Linked DNA regions of Kluyveromyces lactis. The protein of the gene in region 1 purifies or fractionates together with the protein of each later gene. This does not show direct contact. Links are inferred from orthologs where the notes say so. Each region holds a gene or a part of one and is shown in the gene's direction. Other genes may lie near its edges. The genes, in order: NOC4, NOP1, RRP5, CSL4, LCP5, UTP30 and UTP13.

The links.
Region 2: the proteins of NOC4 (region 1) and NOP1 purify together in Saccharomyces cerevisiae (affinity purification with mass spectrometry; 6 studies listed by BioGRID, with this or other methods). This does not show direct contact. The link is inferred for Kluyveromyces lactis from reciprocal best matches to the Saccharomyces cerevisiae genes NOC4 and NOP1.
Region 3: the proteins of NOC4 (region 1) and RRP5 purify together in Saccharomyces cerevisiae (affinity purification with mass spectrometry; 9 studies listed by BioGRID, with this or other methods). This does not show direct contact. The link is inferred for Kluyveromyces lactis from reciprocal best matches to the Saccharomyces cerevisiae genes NOC4 and RRP5.
Region 4: the proteins of NOC4 (region 1) and CSL4 purify together in Saccharomyces cerevisiae (affinity purification with mass spectrometry; 3 studies listed by BioGRID). This does not show direct contact. The link is inferred for Kluyveromyces lactis from reciprocal best matches to the Saccharomyces cerevisiae genes NOC4 and CSL4.
Region 5: the proteins of NOC4 (region 1) and LCP5 purify together in Saccharomyces cerevisiae (affinity purification with mass spectrometry, with the first as the bait; 4 studies listed by BioGRID). This does not show direct contact. The link is inferred for Kluyveromyces lactis from reciprocal best matches to the Saccharomyces cerevisiae genes NOC4 and LCP5.
Region 6: the proteins of NOC4 (region 1) and UTP30 purify together in Saccharomyces cerevisiae (affinity purification with mass spectrometry; 5 studies listed by BioGRID). This does not show direct contact. The link is inferred for Kluyveromyces lactis from reciprocal best matches to the Saccharomyces cerevisiae genes NOC4 and UTP30.
Region 7: the proteins of NOC4 (region 1) and UTP13 purify together in Saccharomyces cerevisiae (affinity purification with mass spectrometry; 7 studies listed by BioGRID, with this or other methods). This does not show direct contact. The link is inferred for Kluyveromyces lactis from reciprocal best matches to the Saccharomyces cerevisiae genes NOC4 and UTP13.

Annotation. Positions count from the first base shown.
Region 1 is NC_006038.1:952,665-956,184, forward strand, and holds NOC4 (ribosome biosynthesis protein NOC4), read left to right. Parts: upstream 1-1,454; coding exon 1,455-3,020; downstream 3,021-3,520. Other genes in the region: ASN1 (asparagine synthase (glutamine-hydrolyzing) 1), read right to left, coding at 1-171; PPT1 (protein serine/threonine phosphatase), read left to right, coding at 3,284-3,520. UniProt on the Saccharomyces cerevisiae protein: Involved in nucleolar processing of pre-18S ribosomal RNA and ribosome assembly. Has a role in the nuclear export of 40S pre-ribosomal subunit to the cytoplasm.
Region 2 is NC_006039.1:400,224-402,928, forward strand, and holds NOP1 (rRNA methyltransferase NOP1), read left to right. Parts: upstream 1-1,197; coding exon 1,198-2,205; downstream 2,206-2,705. Other genes in the region: trans-2-enoyl-CoA reductase (NADPH) TSC13, read right to left, coding at 1-367.
Region 3 is NC_006038.1:728,557-732,649, forward strand, and holds the start of RRP5 (Rrp5p), read left to right. Parts: upstream 1-1,293; coding exon 1,294-4,093. Other genes in the region: YPK9 (putative acid anhydride hydrolase), read right to left, coding at 1-127.
Region 4 is NC_006040.1:1,659,619-1,662,407, reverse strand, and holds CSL4 (exosome non-catalytic core subunit CSL4), read left to right. Parts: upstream 1-1,395; coding exon 1,396-2,289; downstream 2,290-2,789. Other genes in the region: BNI4 (Bni4p), read left to right, coding at 1-1,079.
Region 5 is NC_006041.1:1,205,624-1,208,534, forward strand, and holds LCP5 (small subunit rRNA maturation protein LCP5), read left to right. Parts: upstream 1-1,223; coding exon 1,224-2,411; downstream 2,412-2,911. Other genes in the region: rRNA-processing protein NSA2, read right to left, coding at 211-996; VFA1 (Vfa1p), read left to right, coding at 2,705-2,911. UniProt on the Saccharomyces cerevisiae protein: Component of the U3 small nucleolar ribonucleoprotein. Required for the early cleavages at sites A0, A1 and A2 of the pre-ribosomal RNA. Participates in ribosome biogenesis.
Region 6 is NC_006037.1:536,581-539,201, forward strand, and holds UTP30 (Utp30p), read left to right. Parts: upstream 1-1,308; coding exon 1,309-2,121; downstream 2,122-2,621. Other genes in the region: KLLA0_A05731g (uncharacterized protein), read left to right, coding at 1-853; KLLA0_A05775g (glycosyltransferase family 15 protein), read left to right, coding at 2,354-2,621. UniProt on the Saccharomyces cerevisiae protein: Involved in rRNA-processing and ribosome biosynthesis.
Region 7 is NC_006042.1:1,222,969-1,226,977, forward strand, and holds UTP13 (U3 snoRNA-associated protein UTP13), read left to right. Parts: upstream 1-1,209; coding exon 1,210-3,654; downstream 3,655-4,009. Other genes in the region: KLLA0_F13222g (uncharacterized protein), read left to right, coding at 1-665; RSA3 (Rsa3p), read left to right, coding at 3,994-4,009. UniProt on the Saccharomyces cerevisiae protein: Involved in nucleolar processing of pre-18S ribosomal RNA.

The DNA of each region.
Region 1 (3,520 bases):
AGAGTCCAATCCGACAATAGCCAATCTTTCGTGAACTAGAATAGTAGAGTTCTTAACAATGTTACCTGACCAATCTGGACCACGGTGTCTGATTCTCTTGGATAATTGTAAAGCTTTTGGTTTGTAAGCCTGAACATCAGGGTTTCTGAATGAAGCAAATATACCACACATCTTGGGTCCTGTTACTTCGTTATTCTGTATATCTAATTGATAAGAGCGAGTAAAAAACCAATACTAATACAAAACAAAGATCCTAACATAAACATATAAACAATTCTTATTACAAGCGAGCATTAGTTTTCTTGTGATGAGCATCAATTCTTTATACTTTTTCCAAAATTTTTCACCAGAGCTTGAATCGCCGTATTCTTTTTTCTTTCGAGATATTGAAAATGACTCAGTATCAATTGCATATCAAAAGAATATGACAAAGCAGCAGAGAAACGAAAAGTAACGAAGTGAAAATGAAAATTGGTGCCAGATTCTAACTCTGATTCATAGTTGATTCATTTGTTCCCGCTCCGACTTGTCATATTCACGATACCATCGTATCACGGCATTTTTTTCTATCTAATATTTACGTTTACGTTTACAGTTAGTTTAGTTTTTGAAATGAATCGCACAAGGCGATTCATATTAGCAAGAAGCAAGACTCAAACACACAAACTCACATCAAGTCTATACATGGGATGACCTTCCCAAAAAGAATCAGAATTTTATAAAAAGTGTCCCAAATCATTCAAAGAATGTAACAAGATTATAAGGCTTGCGAGGGCACCACATTCTCCATTAAAACCATGAACAGAAAATAATTCCCATCCACGAAAGAATTGTAAGAATTAAAAAAGCGCAAATAGTATCATCGTCTTCTTTTAAAACTTGGAAGGTCATGTGGATTTAAGCCCAAAAAGAGTAATACAAGTAAAGCCTATCAAAGTTACATCTCTTCTACATCACCAATTGTGTCTTGTAATTTCTTGGTTCATAAATCTTTCTCTTATATATGATGAAATTCGGGCTAGATCATTTTATACTAATCGTTGAAATTTGTATGCTGTTAGGGCTCATAGGCTGCCGTGAACTGGAGGATACGCACCCCCTGAAGGAACGAGCATCAGTGTGCGTATTCAAGGTGATGCAGGCAAGACTTGACTGACAACAGAATGGTTTACCACTCTAAATTATATATTTAATGTCGCCATTGATAGCTAGTTTATTAGGAAATGCGATCACGTGATAAGAATAATTTCTTTTCAATTGTCTTCTACATTGCAAGAATCTCTGAAAAATTTGGAATCAAGAGATGAGATGAGATGAGATGAGATGAGATGAAGTCGAATAGGAAACGTTAAGGTAGGATATTCTCACCGTTATAATCTGTTTGATTACTCGCAATAAATAATTGGAATTCACATATAAAAGTTTCCCAAGGATTCAGACAGCGATTAACCAAGATGCTCTCGAAGGAAGAGATTAAGCAAGTTTGGAAGTCTATTAGCACCGGCAATGATAGAAAACATTACAACTCGTTGGTGAACCTAATCCATGGGTACAATGAACTTCTAAAGGAAAACGAATTGTTGCACAATTTGGAAGATGATTACCGTTATATGACCATTGCTTTGAGTCAGATTTTCATCAAACTTTTTGAGCGTGGTCAATTGATGCCTCATCTTGCATCCAATGCCAATGAAAAGAAATTCTTTGAATGGTGTAAGAAACTATATTTAAATTATAAGGTTAAGTTATTGGCTATCATTACATCTTTGCATGAAGTTAACTCGTTGAGTTTAGATTGTTTGGACTCATATATGAAAATGCTTCACCATGAATCGATATATTGGGCTTCGAAACCAAATAGTCCTTTCTTTCCAAATAAGACTTTAAGATCGTTACTAGTGGCTCTTTTCCATTGTAACTTTGAAGGTGATATCGGTTTCAAAGATGGTCAGAGCGAGAATCCCGTGTTTAATCTATTTGTGGAAGCCTATTATAAGAAGAATTTCGATATTCAATTCTACACACAATCAGAACTGATATCGTTGTTACCAGAACTTGATGGCCAAACATCTGACGAAATTTTGATGTCTAAATGGTTGGCTTTATGCAACAACGATGTTCAGGGATCACCAGACTTGGAAATATTCGTATCTGTGCCCCCACAAGCCATCGAGAATGATGCTAAGTTTAAATCCAACCTCGAAACAAATTGGTTGCACTGTCTAAATTTAGCCAACTTATCCAGTAGCCAATATAAAACTGTGCTTTTAGTGCTACACAAGAGAATTATAGTATGGTTCCATCAACCAACAAAGCTTATGGATTTCCTTACCGACTCTTACAACCAAGGTGGTATCGTTTCAATCCTTTCATTAAATGGTTTGTTTGAACTTATGAAAAAATACAACCTAGAATATCCAAATTTCTACTCAAAACTATATCAGCTTCTAACTCCAGAAGTAATGCACGTTAAGTACAGATCAAGATTTTTCAGATTAGTGGACACCTTTCTATCTTCTACACATTTATCCGCACAACTGGTAGCGTCATTCATCAAACGTTTGGCACGTTTATCCGTATCGGCACCACCAGGTGCTATTGTTTCTATAATACCATTCGTGTACAATCTAATCAGAAAGCATCCTACATGTATGATTCTATTACACGATCCAGAATACATCGACTGCGATTCAAAGAAAAGGCAAGAATATCTAGATCCATTCAACAATGAAGAAACCAATCCAGAACTTACAAATGCTCTTTCCTCCTCAGTATGGGAGCTAGAAACGCTAATGAATCACTACCATCCAAACGTAGCCACTTTAGCGAAGATTTTCCAACAACCTTTCCAAAAGTTAAGCTACAACATCGAAGATTTCTTAGATTGGTCTTACGATTCACTTTTGCAAGCAGAAACCAATAGAAAGCTGAAGATCCAACCTGCTCTTGAATTCGAAAGGTTTGAAACAATTTTCGAATCAGGTTCTGATTCAGCATTCCTACCCTTCATAAAATGGTAAATACATAATTTCAAGTAGAAAACTTAAGTAGTTCAATTCCAAATTGAGTACTTTCTTTCACTTTCGCAAATCTCTTCACATTACATCTCATCACATCGCCGTAATATTGAAACATCGAGATGAAAAAAATCAACAAGTCAACATCAAGAAGAGAAAGACTCACATCAGAAAAAACTTTAAAATGGGCTCCGTTTATCGGTCTTGAGGACTTAAAGGCACATACCATACCAGTTGGCTGCTTTTTTACCACTACTATTGAATAAATGACTGAGGAAGTGAAAGCCTGTAATCCAGAGAAAGCCTTAGAGCTGAAGAATGAAGGTAACAAGTTCGTGAAGGAGAAACTGTACGCAAAGGCAGCTGAGTATTATACAAAAGCCATCGAGCATGATCCCGAGAATACGATCCTATATTCAAACCGTGCGTTCACCAACCTAAAGTTGGATAACTTCCAAAGTTCTTTAGACGATGCTAAACGTGCAATTGAATTGGATAATAAC
Region 2 (2,705 bases), on another chromosome or scaffold:
CCCTAACTGTTGCGTTTAAAGACAAAAGGTAAACTAAAGAATGGATCAAGATCGGACCCAAATATTCGATGAAAAACACCAGTCTCCAAGAGATCTGCGGACCCAAATCCTTAACATACCACTCGTTAACTGAATCGAACGTGTTTTTCTTACCAACATCGTTCAATTCAGAGGGCCCAATGGCGACTTGCTTACCTTCTTTCAGATAGCTTAACCTTAACCTGTTAACGCTAATATTGTGATTGCTTTTCGAAATCTGTTGCAAAACAGATTGATATGTCAACGTATTTTCTGTTGGAACTTCCAACTTGACGTCTTTTAAGCTCTTTGAGCGTGATTTAATAAAAATTGAACTGGATGCAGACATAAAGGGACACTTATCTAGGTAATATCTTCAACTGTCGGATTAAAATATACAGCGATAGTTTGGAAAATAGGATCTCAAAACTAAACCAGAAAATTTATCCAGATATACTAATTCAGATTCTGATTGCTATAACGTACAAAAGTCAAAGCTGGTTCCACTTCTCTGATTTTTTATCTGCTTTTATAAAGATACCGATATTCACAACAACAACCAAAAATGATCTCATCTGCATATTTTCGCAATGTTGACTATGAAAAACTTGTATAGAAATCCTTAGTAAACGTACGCATTGTAGCAAGTATCTGGCTCAACATAGCAAAAAAAAATCTTGAAAAGTTGTAGATTCATATGATTATATAATCAATTCATATCACGTGATACAGATGTGACAATAGTCATGTGACTTTAACGTTCATCGTTCTGTACGTACCAAGAGGCACAGAAAGACCAAAGATGAGAACTTTGAAAAAGAAATTTAATATTGTTTTTTCATTCAAAATTTTTCAGCTGAAAAAAAAAAGTTTCGAAAGCTCATCTCATCGAATGTAAAGTAAGAGTTTATTAAGTTGTTCTTGCTTGAAAGAAGTAATCAATTGTTTATAGAATAGTATTGTGTACGTTTTCTGTTCCTATAATCTACCCATTTTAGAAGAGTTTTACAGCCGTCCAGGATTCTGTTTCAAAGTCAACGACAATACCTGTTACTGATTCACAATTTTAATTCTTTTTTTTTCCTTTGTCCAATTTAGAGAGAAGAAGATCAAGAGCAGCAACAGCAGCATAATCATTATATCTCAAGACAGATAATTCCCAACTAGTTAAGAATAATAATGGCATTCCAAGCAGGTTCTAGAGGTGGCAGAGGCGGTTCCCGTGGTGGATTCGGCGGTGGTTCCAGAGGTGGTTCCAGAGGTGGATTTGGCGGTGGCCGTGGTGGATTCGGTGGTTCCCGTGGTGGTTCCAGAGGTGGATTCGGTGGTGGTCGTGGTGGTCCTCGTGGTGGCGCTCGCGGTGGTTCCAGAGGTGGATTTGGTGGTGCCCGTGGTGGTTCCAGAGGTGGTCCTCGTGGTGGTGCTCGTGGTGGTGCTCGTGGTGGTGCCCGTGGTGGTGCTAAGGTTGTTATCGAACCTCATAAGCATGCTGGTGTTTTTATTGCCAGAGGTAAAGAAGATCTTTTGGTCACAAAGAACATCGCTCCAGGTGAATCTGTGTACGGTGAAAAGAGAGTTTCAGTTGAAGAACCTTCCACTGAAGAAGGTGTCCCACCAACTAAGGTGGAATACCGTGTTTGGAATCCTTTCAGATCCAAATTGGCTGCCGGTATCATGGGTGGTTTGGATGAACTATTCATTGCTCCAGGTAAGAAGGTTCTATATCTAGGTGCTGCTTCCGGTACATCTGTGTCCCACGTTTCCGATGTCGTTGGTCCAGAAGGGTTGGTTTACGCTGTTGAGTTCTCTCACAGACCAGGTAGAGAATTGATCTCTATGGCTAAGAAGAGACCAAATGTTATCCCAATTATTGAAGATGCTAGACATCCACAAAAATACAGAATGCTTATCGGTATGGTTGACGCCGTCTTCGCAGATGTTGCTCAACCTGATCAAGCCCGTATTATTGCTTTGAACTCTCATATGTTCTTGAAGGATCAAGGTGGTGTCGTTATCTCTATCAAGGCTAACTGTATCGATTCTACTGTTGATGCTGAAACTGTGTTCGCTAGAGAAGTTCAAAAATTGAGAGAAGAAAAGATTAAGCCTTTGGAACAATTGACTTTGGAACCTTATGAAAGAGACCATTGTATCGTTATCGGTAAATACATGAGAAGTGGATTATAAGAGCTGCTAAAGAAATATTGATATTTTGAAACCAATGCTAGAGTATGCCTACTTGGTTCATGATTCCTTCTATTAATCTTTTTTTTTTGGCTTCTAATCTTTTTTTGCTTACTTTTTAGTTTTAAAAACCTTCATTCCAATACAATCATTAACACTATAATATTATTTGAAATTTTGCATCTCATTGATTCGTGATAAAGTTCTACAAACTAGAAAAGTCTCCACTTCGTCTTCACTTGTATTTTGTCACTCTGTGTGTTTCTTTTACTTACAGTCCAGGTCCTTCGCCTGTTCAAAGGAGATCGACTAACTGACGGGAAAAGAATAGAAGAAGATTTCAAAACCTTGTTCATCAACTTGACAATACAAAAGAACCCATTTTCACAATAACGGTATTAATACTCGAACACTCTTAACCTTATTTTGTACATTTAATTTGTAGATATATTATTATTATTATCACATACTATATATAACTTATATATATCAATAACAACCAT
Region 3 (4,093 bases), about 220 kb from region 1:
GTTCCAAGATTGCTGATGAAGTAGTTGTATTAGCGCTGGATCCCGTCCTTGTCGAAGAAAAGGACGGTCTTGCTGATTTATTCGCACTATGGGGTATTCCTGTAAATCTGCTGTCGAATGATGACATTGAGTCCCTCTTCAAAGGTGCGTTGGTCGACCTTATCTATTGATAGAATCCACTCCATATTACTTTTTAAAGGTTTCTGATATATATGAGAATGTAGGTTGATAAATTGAAGATAATTGATTTAATGAAATTTCATACCAAGACACATAATACATAAGGAAGGATAGGAGAAAAGGCAGGCCAATGATACCTCACGTTACAATGTGGAACTTTACTGTGTTGATAAAACTCTCGTAGTTCGATAGATATATAGACTGCCCCTGAAAATGGATCGAAAGGAGCCAGAAACAGCTTTAGACTGTAATATGATGGTGCTTTTATGCCTTATAATAAATATTTCCGGCTGTGAAAGTACCTTTAGAAATGAAATTGAACAAAAAAGAGAAAAAACATATAGTCTGATCTGAAACTATTACCATAGAAGGCATTCCACTCGTAATTGCACAAATTTTTCTTAGCATGACCAACAAAACTCTTATCACTCCCCTAGAACCTTTTAGTTACATGGTTTCCACCATTACAGATATGTAATTATTATACCTCTTTAAGAAGATAGAATAACTGGCTAACAAAAGCCCTTAATAGTTAAGAAGTATGTCATGCATTCAAAAGACCCTAATCCGTGGATACGGTTCAAACAAACTCCAGTGATAACAACGGAAGATCTGTACAACGTTCCATTATTAAACTGTCACTGCATCAAAGGCGCGATTACATTTCGTCTATGTCGTTTTGATTTCTTTTTTTTAATATTGAAAATTTTCAAAAATCGATGCGATGAGATGAGATGAGATGAGATGAGCTTTAGCTACTTAAGTGCTGGATCATTTGTATTGGTATGCTAACACATTTCTGAGCTTTGTTGATTCTAGAAACCAAGTGCAACTTTCTTAATTCTGGTAAAGATAAGTCTGGTTTACTTTCTCAAACAGGAAACAGTTTGGTATAACATATTTTGTATCTTTCTCTGAATTCTTTTTGCTTTGTGCTTTCTATTGGCTTTATTGGTTTCTATCTTCACAGAAGACAAAAACAACAACAACTTGGGAACAGGAGCTTCAATAGTTTGCAAGACACTTCAAGAAAAACATAGGTTTACATCTAAATTGCTAGGTGTAATTTGTTTTGAAAACAGGCATATCTAAATACCGAAAAAGATCACAAACATGGTTGCTCCACAAAGTAAAAGAAAGAGAGACGATGAGTCTCCTTTAGTAAGACAGGATGCTACCGAAGCACCAGCCAAATCTGCATTGAGTAAATCCGAGGAAATCTCATTTCCAAGAGGTGGTTCTTCTGCTTTATCCCCATTGGAAGTTAAGCAGGTTGGTAACGAAGTGGTTGCTGATGTTTTATTTGGCAAGGATGAATCAGCTACTGGTGCAGAGGGCCCAACGAAGAAGAAAAAGAAGAATGCTAAGAATAATTTTGATCAAATTACCACAGGTGATGATGAAGAAAAAGAGGACAAGACTGATTTAATTGAGCATTTTGGAATGAAACAAATGACCAAAGGGACCATTGTCTTGGGTCAAATCCAATCGATCAGCAAACATGAACTGAAAATATCTTTGGTGGACGGTTTGCATGGTTACGTCTCATTAACAGATATCTCTGAACAAATGACCAAGATTTTGGAAAATTTGGACGAATCCATGGAAAGCGATGATGAAAAAAATGAGGACTCAGAATACGATTCTTCAGATGATGAAAGCGACATAACAACTCCTAAAGAATTACCTGATCTCAATAAATATTTCAAAATAGGCCAATGGTTGAGGTGCATGGTACAAAATAACAGCGCTTTAGAATCAAACAAGAACAAAAAGTTAGACTTATCCATCGAACCCTCTGTAGTAAACGTGTTTGAAGATGATGATTTAGCTAAAAACTGTCCACTACAGTGTTCGTTGAAAAGTATAGAAGATCACGGTGCCATTCTTGATATCGGTATTGAGAACTTAACAGGTTTTATCTCAAAGAAGGATATACCTGAATTCAGTTCTTTGTTACCAGGTATGGTGTTCTTAGCTACAGTGACGAAAAGATCTGGTAGAACTGTAAATGTCAACTTGGATTTGGCCAGTAAAAACACCAAGGTCGAAAAGATCTCTTCCATAGATGCCATCGTGCCGGGTCAATCGATTGACTTTTTACCTCAAACTATCACAAATCACGGTGTTATCGGTAAAGCCTTCGGTCTAATAACTGCATTTTTGCCATTGCCACATTCCAATTTCTTTACGGTAGAGGATTTGAAGCATCACTACTCCATTGGTGACTTAGTCAATGCTAGAATTTTGGCAACCACTATAGTGAAAAGCGGCGATAAAGTTGCTGTCGTTTCCACACAACCTCATATCATCTCATTGCATCCAAAATTACAGGAGACCGAAGCGTTAGAATCTTTCCCCGTTGGCTATATCTTCGATTCTTGCACAGTTAAAGGCAGGGATAGTCAATTTTTCTACGTATCAATCAACAATGAACAGGTGGGACAAATTCATTTGTCAAAGGCAGGAGAAACTGAACCAACGGGAACTGTGAAAGCAAGAATACTCGGCTATAACAATGTAGATAAACTTTACACATTGACGTCTGATCCAGCCTTACTTGATGTCAAATACCTAAGATCGTCCGATATTCCAGCAGGCGAAGTTTTGAGCGCTTGTGAGATTGTCACAGTGTCAGGAAAAGGTATTGAATTAAAAATTTTCAATGATCAATTTAAGGCATTTGTTCCTCCCTTACACATATCTGATACCAGACTTGTGTATCCTGAAAGAAAATTCAAAATTGGTTCAAAGGTTAAAGGTAGAGTTCTCAATGTCGATTCTGTGGGCCGTGTCACTGTGACATTGAAAAAGTCTATTGTAAATGCAGACGAAGAATCTGTGACGTTAGTCTGCAAAAATGATGATATTCAGACTGTTGAAAGTCAAGAATTGAAAACAATTGGTACTGTTGAAATATTCAAGCCTAATGGTTGTGTTATCTCGTTCTTTAATAATATCAAAGCTTTCGTTCCAAACAAAGAAATTTCAGAAGCATTTGTAAAGAAACCACAAGAACACTTAAGACTAGGACAAAGTGTTTTGGTTAAAATTTTGAATCATGACTTCGAAAGAAACAGAATTATTGCTTCTTGTAAAATTTCAGCAGAGTCTTCTTCCAAGCAAAAGAGTGCTATTGAATCTTTAGTTGTCGGTAAATCTATCATCGATGCAATTGTTATTGAAAAGACTAAAGATTCCGTCATCGTAGAATCTAAAGATTCAGGGTTGCGCGGTGTTATTTACACCGGCCATTTGTCAGATGATAGAATTGAACAAAACAGAGCTTCGCAGAAAAAGTTAAAGATTAACTCTGAAGTTAGAGGTTTGGTTTTGGACAAGGACATCAGGACTCATGTGTTCAACATGTCCTGTAAAAAATCATTGATTAAAGATGCTGAAGACGGTACCCTTCCTTTAAGTTTTTCCGACATCAAAAATAAAGACAAAACAGAACCGATGCATGGTTACGTTAAATCTGTTTCTGACCGTGGTGTTTTTGTTGCATTCAATGGTAAATTTGTCGGTTTGGTTTTACCAAGTTATGCAGCAGAAACCAGAGATATTGATATTCATAAGAAATACTACATCAATCAATCCGTGACCGTGTATTTATTGAGAACAGATGAGGAACATGAAAGATTTTTATTGACTATTTTAAAACAAAAGACCGATGTTAAGAAGATCAATTCATCTGTAATTAACCCAGTCGACAAGTCTATCAAAGATTTGTCGGACTTCACTATCGGTAAGGTTACAAAGGCTACAATTACATCAGTTAAGAAGAACCAGCTTAACGTTACGTTGGCTGATAATGTACATGGTCGTATCAGTATTTCTGAAGTTTTCGACAGTTTCGAAGATATCAAAGAACAAAAGGCACCATTAAGTGTGTACAAGAAAAATGATTCAC
Region 4 (2,789 bases), on another chromosome or scaffold:
TAACGAAATCTCCGGTGAGCAGTATTCTGCGCAGCGGAAAGTTTGAAACTACGTCTGATGAAAAAATATCCGCCAGTTCTGATTTGGACAATAGTCATGGTACTCGAAGTGCAAGTTTCACAATTTCACCACAACAGAGAGATTTTTCTTTTGGTTCCATAGAGCAAAAGTTAAACGAGCTGACAATGGAATCTGATCAAGAAGATCAACTAGAAAAACCATTGGTGCAGAATAAGGCAACTAAATCTAGTCTTGAAGATTCAGATAATGAAGACAACGAATTAATCTCAGATATCATGGAATTTGCAAGTATAATAGACTTTGGACAAGATATCGAGTTAAATTTTGATCTCTATTCTGACAATCGTTCACACTATGAAACTCTAAATCCGGTCAAAGAATCTGTGAAAAACTCTCTATCCAAGCCCAGCTTCAATACTGAGACAGAAAACTCATTTCTTGTGGAACTTACTAACTCCCCAGAAATTAAGACAAACAGTTCAGTACTCAACCAAAAACAGACTGGTTTGGATGATCAGAAACACATATCAAGTACTATAAAAACAAGAGACACATCACCAGAAAATGTTAGCAGTAGCAACCAAAACACTTTTTCTGATAGCAGTTTATATTTTGATAATTATGATGAGGAAGATTTTGAGAACGAAGATTTTAATGGCATACATGCAGTAAAAGAATCCCCAAAGATCAACGCATTTTTACCAGATATCACAACATCGATGAGCAGGCCTATATCGATGTCTTTTAGGGGTTTGAAAGCGCCACAATTCAACAGTACCATGGAACTTTCAGGGCTTACGGGACTTGAACATATCTCAGATCAGATGTCGAAGAAATCGGAAGAAAGATCTAGCTATGCAGCAAAACTTGTTAAGTTTTCCTCTCAAATAGTCCTTTATGAGACCTATGGTGAACTTGAGTATGATAGGCATCCTGATTCGGCAACATGCAATCAACTTACTCCTCAATTGGCCCAAATGATAAAGGACGAGCTGAATGAGCTTAAAGCAGAAATGGACATTCACGAAGATTCTATGTGCAACACTCACTTCTTTTAGTAGACCTATAAATACATGTAATCATAGTAGTTAAATCATTTACCATGCGTTTCTATGTTTCCCTTTATATGGATTCAAATCGTGCACGTAGCTTTCGTGTTGAGCCCGCTTTGAAAGCTTTGGTAATATTACCCTACTATTTGAAAATAATTCTAACTTGTCTTCAACATCTCCCAAATTTTGAAAATTGTTTCACTCATTATGAAAATGATAAAAAAAGAGCTGCTTTATGCGATGAGCTAACAGTAATACCAAACTAGCTTAAATATGGCCTGTAAGATAATAAGAGTGTTTGATAACAGTAAGGTTTGTCTATATGCATCGTTATAAAATGAAGCCTTTTAAAAATTTCCCCCAGACTGTTATACCCGGTGATCTTATATGTCCAATATTTGATGTTGATGATGATAACAAGCAAGAAGTGGTAATACGCTTCCTAACGGGCACTGGCTGTAAACAGGAGAATTTTAGAGTTAACGGCAAGAACGTTGATATTATCGTAGCCACATTAAAAGGTTCTGTATCTGTGGAAGAAGTTCCAGCAGATATTATCGAAGACGACGATCAAGAAGACTCAGAGAATACGACGTTTGTAGAATCTCATGAGACCACCGGAGGGGATGCAAGCTCTGGCAATAGTAGAGTTATAAAAAGTTTCAAAGTATCAGTATCAAATCCTAGCAAGTTTGCTAGCAAGTATGTTGATGACCAGTTTGTCAATAACCTTCCGCAAGAGGGCGATATCGTACTGGCGAGGGTGACCAGAATCAGTTTGCAAAGAATAACAGTTGAGATTTTAGCAGTTGAGAATTCGCCCTTGCCGATCGACTCTGGTGTCGGAAGCAATGGGACTGGCATAATTGCTGCTGCTGGTGGATCTGGTGCGTCTACGTTTTCCGTTTCGCAAGTGTCCGCGGATTTGGGAGAAACTTTTAGGGGCATAATTAGATCCCAAGATGTAAGGGCCACTGATAGAGATAGAGTAAAAGTTATGGAAAGTTTTAAACCTGGGGATATAATACGTGCTCAAGTGCTCTCACTTGGCGATGGTACCCATTACTATTTAACTACAGCAAGGAATGACTTGGGCGTGGTGTTCGCTAAGTCTTCTAACGGAGCTGGAGAACAGATGTATGCAATTGATTGGCAGACAATGATTTCACCAAAGACCGGAGTCGCTGAGAAACGAAAATGTGCAAAGCCCTTCTAATATAGTCGGAACACAACAAGCTTTTTGTTCAAGTCTATAGGTACCTTCACATACATACATTTACAACTTTCATTTACATTTACATTAGTTTCGTATTAGGCTTCACGCATATTGGGAATATTGAGGAAGTTTCTACTAAGATCATTGTGAATTCAACGCCTGAATATCATATGTTATTATCAGAAAAGTTAGTTGGACTTTTAGTTGATTGGGAATTTCAACTCATCGTGGTCACCTCTTAAATCATATTCACTCAGTCCAACTTTTTTTCCGAACTTCTCAAATCTTTGTAGATAATGCTTTCTCTTCTTCTCTGCAATTTGAGTTAGGACAGGCCAATAGGCTTCATGATTATATTTGAAGTCGAGGTTACCACCATAAAGCGTCTCGAGTTGATCAGGTGGCACATAATTTGGAAATGGTTCATCAAAAACCAATTTTTCACGAGTCAACGGATCAATAAAAGGATGGATGAGCTTCAAAAAGGTCCACGCAAGCCA
Region 5 (2,911 bases), on another chromosome or scaffold:
GCATGAAATTGTCAGTCTCATTGGCTATAATTCAGTATTTAACGCTAAATATATGATTAAATAATGATGATTTAGCCAGTACTTTCTAATAAGGGAACTCAGTTCTAAAATGAAATAGTAATATACAATAACGTAGCGGAGTGGGGGGTGATGCAATAGGGAATAATTGAGATGAGTAGGAATTTTGGTAGTAATAGGTTGTACTTGTTCTTACACAAGTAGCACAGCGTTGACACAACCGTCTCTATCTGGCTCATTCGTGATTTGAGCATATTTACCCCAAACCACTTTACCACCAGAAGTAACCATACCTAATTCCGAGACGTTCACTTCAATAATAGTACCCTTGGTTAATACACCCAACTGTGTGTACATTGGCGATTGAGGATTCTTCTTCACCGCAAGAATTGGCAAGAAAACGGTGACTCCAAGTTCCGGATGCGTCACATTAGCCTTCTTTTGTCTCAAAGCACTAGGTCTGATAATCCTTTCCATCTTCACAGGCCTTCTTGTAAACCCTTCACCAACAAACGTATGTTTCGTGATCATTCTCTTCCATGCCTTAGACTTAGACTTACCTGTCTTAACAACTTTGAACATCTCTTCCTCACTGATACCTCTGACCTTAGGCAAAGGAACAGAAAACTTGTCAGCCTTCTCCAAACGCTTCTGCTTGATGGAACTGGATATAGCCTTTGCAGTGTTGTTCTGTTCTCTGTCTAACAAATAAGTAGGCAAAGCCTCCCCGTTCTCATCCAACGGTTTGGACCCTCCTTTAACTTTACTCTGCTCATGAGCACGGATCTTCTTCTTCATAGCAACCTTCTCAGCATAACGCTTCTTAGCAAATTGCTTACCCTTCCAACCAGTCAATTTCTGAGCCTTTTCAGAGATCTTATGAGCCTCACGGGCTTCTCTCTTACGTTTTCTCTCATCGTGGTCTAATCTACGACCATGTTGCTTGATGTGCTGTTCGATATATTCGTTTTGAGGCATCTTTGTTTTATTGTAAGAACGACTTGTTCGGTGATGACTTACTTCTAAATCACAAACGGACACACGGACTCCTTGAATGGACTTCTTACCACATGTTAACCCATGCGATGAGCTAGTTGTTCAAGTTGTCTTTGTATGCTTTTCTCATTGAAAGAAAAAAATTCAATAGGAAATGTCGAAAAGAAACGTAGTGAAAAAAAAAATTTGGAATCAAGCGATGAGATGAGATGAGATGGGTATCAGCCAGATACAAGTTTGGTTGTCTGGTGTGGGTTTGGCATAGGTTCGATCTACTGTTATTGATGTATAAAACCTCATTACATTCTATTGACAAGGGTTACAGCGGAAATATAGCCATGTCTGAGGAGTTAGGAACTGTTTTGAAAACGATTAGAGATTCTTTGAAATCTTGTGGAGAAAGCTTGGATAAGTTAGAAGAAGTCTATGATGATGAGGAGACCCATCCTTTCCAAGGTTCAGCGGTGGTAGGTCACAAAGGTGATAAATTAGAAAAAGTTTCTCTACTTTCTTTGAAGAATGGGAGTATGCTATCGTATTTGAATTCGCTTCTGTTGGTATTGGGACAGAAATTGAATAAAGAGATGGTTGTTGATGAGGGTAGAGTCAGGGCAGTGGAACAACGAGTTGTTCTTGAAAGAGGTGTGAAGCCCTTGGAGAAGAAGTTAGGGTACCAGCTGGATAAATTGACGCGGGCGTACATTAGACTGGAGAAAGACGTTGAAGAATCCAAGAAAAGAGCCGAATTGCAGGGACTGAGTGACGTACGTGCTTCCCAGGAAGAAGTATCAGACTCAGATTCTGATAGTGAAGAAGAGATGCAATATAGGCCGAACAGTTCAGGAATGGTCAATAACACATCAGTTGGAGGGAAAGCCAAGGGGAAAATCGCTGTCAAGAGTACTCACAATGAAGAAGATGTGGATGATAAAGATAACGTTTATAGACCACCTAAGATCAGTGCCGTTCTGCCACCAAAGCAACATCACTTCGAGGATAAATTCAACGCACAAGAACATAAGGATAAGAGTAGCAGGTCTCGTATGCAAGCTATGGAAGAATACTTGAAGGATTCCTCGGAACAACCGGAATGGGAAACTTCTATCGGTGCCAATATCGTCAACCATGGTAGAGGTGGTGTGAAGACAGCAAGAGATACAGAACGTGAACGTGATGTTCAAAGATTCGAAGAAGAAAATTTCACTAGATTGAACCCCAACGGATCCAAGACTGACAAGAGAATGAAAAAACAAAGAGAAATCATGGCCAAGGTTAATATGATCGCCGGTGAAGATTTCAGTATCTTCAACTCCAAGCGTAAGTTGGAGGATAGTACAAGCAGAAGAGGTAATAAGAAATCTAGAAATGCTTGGGAAAGAGCCAAGAAGAAGTTGTAAACCTGAGGTCCTTCTTTTTCTATGTATAAATAGGCTAAAATATCCATACGTCTCTATTGTCATCATATAGTGTCAAATACGTAGTTTATAAATCGAATGATAACGGTGTTGCACTGCTCAAACTCTAGCTTTGATGTGGTTTGTTTCGTTTCGTTTTGTCTCGTTTTCTTCATATCAAGGTGTAATCACCAATAATTAATTAATACAATCTAAGCGTTCCAACTTTGCAAGATATAATCACCACCTATCACCCCTACTAATCTCCTACCAGCGTACAACTTCCAGCGCCCCTGATGAAGAACGAATACACCAGAAAGAAAGTCTCAGCAAAGGATAGGAAAGCATGTCTGATATGTGGTAACCCTACAGTCACAGTTTTGTTCAATGGAAGCGGACCTGATTGGTTTTATACATGCGATATACATCTAGTTGATAACCCGCAGTTTGTACAGCCTCTATACCCAAAAGAGTATCACGAGTCTCTGGTTAGTCTTAAGCCA
Region 6 (2,621 bases), on another chromosome or scaffold:
GGCTATCCACATGGACGTTAAGGTCCATGCTTGTATCGGTGGTACTTCTTTGCAAGAAGATTCCGAAGCTTTGAGAGGTGGTGCTCAAATCATTGTTGGTACTCCAGGTCGTGTTTTCGATATGATCGACCGTAGAATCTTCAAGACTGACAACATCAAGATGTTCATCTTGGATGAAGCCGATGAAATGTTGTCTACTGGTTTCAAGGAACAAATCTACAACATTTTCACCATGTTGCCACCAACTTCCCAAGTTGTCTTGTTGTCTGCTACCATGCCAGGTGATGTCTTGGAAGTCACTTCCAAGTTCATGAAGGACCCAGTCAGAATCTTGGTTAAGAAGGATGAATTGACCTTGGAAGGTATTGGTCAATACTACGTTAACGTTGAAGAAGAACAATACAAGTACGACTGTTTGACCGATTTGTACGATTCTATCTCCGTTACCCAAGCTGTTATTTTCTGTAACACCAGAAGAAAGGTCGAAGAATTGACCGAAAGATTGAGAGAAAACAACTTCACCGTCTCTGCTATCTACTCTGATTTGCAACAACAGGAAAGAGACACCATCATGAAGGAATTCAGAAGTGGTTCTTCAAGAATTTTGATCTCCACTGATTTGTTGGCTAGAGGTATCGATGTCCAACAAGTCTCTTTGGTTATCAACTACGACTTGCCATCCAACAAGGAAAACTATATCCACAGAATCGGTAGAGGTGGTCGTTTCGGTAGAAAGGGTATTGCTATCAACTTCGTCACCAATAAGGATATCGGTGCTATGAGAGAATTGGAAAGATTCTACTCTACTCAAATTGAAGAATTGCCATCAAGCATCAGCGAATTGTTCGATTAAACTTAATAAATAAAAAAAAAAATAGGAATAATCAACATCAGATCCAAACATTTATTAGGAGGAAAAAAAGTTAAGTTTGGCTTTGTCCGCTACTGTTATTTTCTTTAACTATCTCTCTATTCAAACTCTAATCTTACTTACTTTTAACCTTTATCTCTCTATGTAAATCATATCTTCTAGAAAGAAACAAACGAATACATCTTCTGTATATCTTTACTGAACATACAAAGCTACAGCTTACCATGAAGGGTTTCGTTGAAGTTGCGTCTTATTTATGCACCATCGGAGTGGCTTTCACGTCCGTTTTTGATATTTATCATTTATAACTCTTTATGAAATTGATTTCACTACAAAAATTTTACTAAATGGAGACATCTCATCTCATCTCATCTCATGGATGTAAAGAATAAAGAAAGGTTTGTTGCTACTCTCGATAAACCAGCGAACATTGGGCTATGCCAATCGAATTAGATACTGATGGTGCTACAACCAAGGCTCTACGAGCTTTGACGAAACAATGTGAAGTGGATCCCAAGTTAGCTAACGATACCAGCATCCATTTGATCATCAATACACAACAACCTGTTGGAATAAGAAACGACCACGTCCCCCGCATCATTCCTTTGAAACACAGCCAGATGAAATCTGCAAATGATGTGCGAATTCTACTGATCTGTAAGGACCCAAGTACGCTATATCGAGATTCGTTGACGAAGGAAAAGGCTACGGCAGAATTATTCAAAGAAATTATCAGCGTCAAGAAACTGAAGCAACGGTTCAGAGGTAAAAAACTGAAAGAGTTATATAATGAATTTGACATGATAGTAGCGGATTACAGAGTTCACCATTTATTACCAAGTGTCCTGGGCTCAACTTTCTACCGTTCGAATAGAAAGCTGCCGTTTGTTGTAAGAATGTCAAAACAAATTAAAGAGAAAGGTTCCAAAATGAAGGAAGATTGTGACCCAAAATACGTGAAAGCACAAGTAAAGTCCATATGTAAGAATACCTGGTTTCTACCAAACAAAGACAACTGTTTAAGCATTAAAATTGGGGAAATCGGCGTACATGCTGAGGCGGAATTAATGGCGAATGCAGAAGATGTGATAGACTTTCTGTGTGACAGATCAAAAAAGCCACAAGGTGGGTGCATCAAAGATGGGAAAATCTCCTCTATATTTGTCAAGACTAGCAACAGTCTGAGCTTACCAATATGGAAGAAACTAGAACAAGAATCAATCGATGACGATGAAGAAATTAGGCTATGAAACAACTCCAATTGGTCTTACATGTACTTTAATTTAAGAATAAAAATACTATTATAGAACCCTCTCAAAAATAAGCATATCATTACATAGTTGTAATTACTGGTGAATCCTTCCGTACTATGTGAAACAGCTAAATTTCTGCCCTTTCCTTCAAGAGGCTTGAGCAGTATATCTTGAACTTTGACAGATTTTTGATGAAAAAAATGTATGGAATTCTTAAAATAGGCACTGTATGCAAACTTCATGCATATATAAGATGATCTATAGCGATGGCAGTTCCCTAGCTGGGTATTCGATGTTCGCCCTTCGGAGAGTGTACCTTGGTGCCTACGCTGCTATTGTATCACTGTCATTGACTTTATACCTTATCCGTGTGGGTTTTGCTGTCATTAAGGAAGTATATCTGCATCAAAGAATAGAACAAGGCTTTTTCCCTAGATCCGAAGATGTCCTACACAAATATGACAACATAAGGCGGTTCAATAAGAGTTTTGGTGAAT
Region 7 (4,009 bases), on another chromosome or scaffold:
GCAAGTTCCCAATTGGTTACGTTGGTAGTGAAAGGACTAGAAGGAAGATCGATAAGATGAAGGAATACCAAAGAAAGAAAGATGAAAAGCGACGGAAGATAAAGAAGAAAAAGAAGCTCTTGAAAATCAGAAGGGAAAGGCAAAGAATTGAAAAGCAAAAATTGCTCACTGCTCCTGAACAAGAAACTGAAACTGAACCCAACGCAGATTCTCACAACAACATTCAAACTCCCTCTAGCGTGAATTTGGCTAGTCCAAGTTCAAGTGTTTTCACCGATGCAGATGCTGGAAACACACCTAATGATTTCAACGGTCTGGTTTTACCAACGAGGAAGAATTCTGTGAAGGGATTAGGAATGGATGAAATTGATCAACTGCTGAAATCTGATGATGATTTAATACTTTCTCATCATGGAGATGAAGATGGAGATATTGATCTATTAGGCAGTGACGATGCAGATCTCCTGGTTTCTCTGACTGCCCCGATTGAAGAAATTGATTTTAACCATGAACAAATGAGCCATGTTGCCGCATGGAGAAGAAGAAACAGTATCGCCGAAGCTGCTGCTGAACATATGAGAGTAACCAAGAATGGACTTTTCAGTGAGACGGCGCTAGCTGATCTGGAGGAAATCATCGGAGGATCAACAGAACTCCCAAGTTAACCCTCATTTTCACTTCCTTTGATTTTATTTTTTATTCCTTGGTTTTACCACTGCTGCTGATGCGAAACTACTCGACTAAAGCATAACCATAAACTACAATTATCTGTATTCTACCTACTACACTTTCTTGGATATAATCTACATAGATATCATTCTGTGAAGCTCTATTCAGCTTCACCATTTTTTCCGTAAGAGGAGTGTTGTACTTCTCTCATAAATCAACAATTAACTTTAAAATCATATCCATTAGAATATTAGCAAATATTTAGCAAATATGTGTAAGTGCAAATAAACATTGTCTAAAGACCGTTCCCGGTTTTCAGCTCCTTTGTATATGTTCAATCTCTTTCTGTTTCAAGCATATGATAACCCATGCCTCATTGTCTACGTTTTTTTCTTTTTTTTGTTCAATTCGAATGTTGAAAAGTTTAATTCATCTCATCTCATCTCATCGCATCACAGAAATATGCTAGGTGAACCAATAAGATTATACCTGGCCAATTATTAGCACCCAGGACAGCACCTTGGATCTCCCACTCGCACAATGGATTTGAGAACTACCTATGCATCCACGAAACTAGAGCCGTTTTATGCTGGTACTGGTGCTATAGCATCTGTTTCTGAAGATGGACGATTATTAGCGACTTCGGTCGTCGATAAAATCAACATTGTTAGCTTAGATAGCCCACGCCGAGTGTTGCATTCTGTTGATACTGAGGATGAACAAGACATCACCGCATTGCATTTAACTCCAGATGGTTCTTATTTGTGTTTTGTCTCACAAGCGCAGTTGCTCAGAGTGTATTCTTTGAAACAAGAAAGAATTATCAGATCAATGAAGATTTCGTCACCGGTGTACGTCATGAATTGCGATCAAACATCTACACTTTTGGCTATAGGTGGTACTGATGGTAGTGTTAGTGTTATTGATATTGAAAATGGATATGTCACGCACTCTTTGAAAGGACATGGTGCTACCATTTCAAGTGTAAAGTTTCACGGTGAGTTGAACAGTGAAATTTGGAAGCTTGCATCTGGTGATACCAACGGTATGATTAAAGTCTGGGATTTAGTTAAACGTAATTGTCAATGCACTATTCAGGAACATACTACAGCTGTTAGAGGGCTAGATTTCCGTGTCACTGATGAAGAAAAGGGAACGCTGCAGTTATTATCTGGTGGTAGAGACAATATCTTAAATCTCTTCGAGTTTAATTCGACGAAAAAGTATAAGCTACTGAAGACCATCCCTGTCATAGAACAGGTGGAATCGTGTGGATTTACGCAGGACCCGGATGTGGTTTACTCAGCCGGTGGTGGTGCCATTTACCAATTAGTGTCCTTGTCAACAGGAAGAGTATTAAAGAAAACAGCAAAACCTATTGAAGAGCTATTTATTATTGGTACACTATGTATCCTGAACGGAACTAAGCAGTACTTGGTATTTTCAGATCAAACTTTGTTCCTAATAGATGTTGAATCAGCTTTACAATCGGAATCTGAAGTAATTGAAGTGGAAAATAAGATTGCAGGTAATCATGGTACCATTGCAGATATAAGATTCGTTGGTCCAAAACGGGATAAATTAGCATTAGCTACTAACTCTCCTACTCTTAGAATAATTCCAACCCCAACTTCTTCGGAGGAAGAGTTCGAAAATGGGGAGAACAAAGAAACATTTCCTATTGAAGTAAAGATGTACGAGGGTCATACGGATCTACTCAACTCTTTGGATGCCACCGCTGATGGTCTCTGGGTTGCTACAGCATCCAAGGATCACAGCGTTATATTATGGAGATATCATGCAAAGTACGAAGACTTTTATCCATACACTAAATTTGTCGGTCATGTAGGTTCTGTGAATGCTGTTGGACTTCCTAATGTTATGCCACGTTCATGGCCTGAATTCATAATTACAGCTTCTAACGATTTGACCATAAAGAAATGGAAGGTTCCTAAGGTGACATCTGATGAACCCGAAGATCTAATACTTGTTAAGACCTCAGAATATACCAGAAGGGCGCATGAAAAGGATATCAATGCTATCTCCATTTCACCTAATGATTCTCTATTTGCCACGGCTTCATACGATAAGACATGTAAAATATGGAATTTGGATGATGGTGAATTCCAAGCCACATTAGCAAACCACAAACGTGGTCTATGGGACGTTGCATTCTGTCAATATGACAAGTTATTGGCCACATGTTCCGGTGACAAGACCATCAAAATTTGGTCCTTAGAATCATATGCCGTCGTAAAAACTTTGGAAGGACATACCAATGCAGTTCAAAGATGTTCCTTCATAAACAAGAACAAGCAACTGATAAGTACTGGTGCTGATGGTTTAGTTATTATTTGGGATCTATCAACTGGTGAATCGGTCAAGACACTAGATGCTCACAATAACCGTATCTGGGCTCTTGCTGTTATGAACGATGGTGAATCCTTCGTTACAGCAGATGCTGACGGCTTCTTTGAGTTCTGGAGGGATAACAGTGAAGAGGAACACGAACGTAACCTCGAGCAAGAGAAACTGAAGATTGAACAAGAACAATCATTACAAAATTATCTCTCAGAAGGTGACTGGACTAACGCATTTTTGCTTGCCATGACCTTGGATCACCCAATGAGATTGTACAACGTCTTAAGACAAAGTGTAGACAACTCAAATGAGGATCCAAATGTAGTTTTCAACAACGAAATTGACGAGGTTGTGTCGACTCTAGATAAAGATCAACTTCTTCTTTTAGTGAAAAGGTGCAGAGATTGGAATACAAATGCAAGAACACACACAGTAGCCCAAAAGATGATAAGGTGTATTCTTCTAAGACAAAATATTGAAGAGTTGAGCGAAATTCCTGGGCTTGTAAGGATCGTTGAATCAATAATCTCATACGCAGAGAGACATTACTCAAGAATGGATAACTTGGTTCAAGAAAGTTATATCTTAGATTACGCTTTAGTTCAAATGGACAAATTGCTATAAAGAATGTAAATATAGCACTAGTCGTCATGTAGATATATACATATAACAGTACAACACACCCACCGCATCAACTCTGAATAGATACCATATCCAGTCAAGGGCCATCCATCAGTAGAATAATAAGTTTGTTACCCGGCTTTGAGTTTTAGACAGAATTTGTTTCCCTGCAAAAGAAACTTCATCAAATAACTAGACGATGTGAAGCGATGAGATGAGATGAGATGAGATCGGCTCTCATCCTTCTTCTGTTAAAAGGTGACTTCAACTGTGAATTTTTGACAGTTATACTTTAAAGTTAACTCTCCTCCATATTAACGAGAAGCTCTATCGGAAACTATCATGTCAGAGGGACATA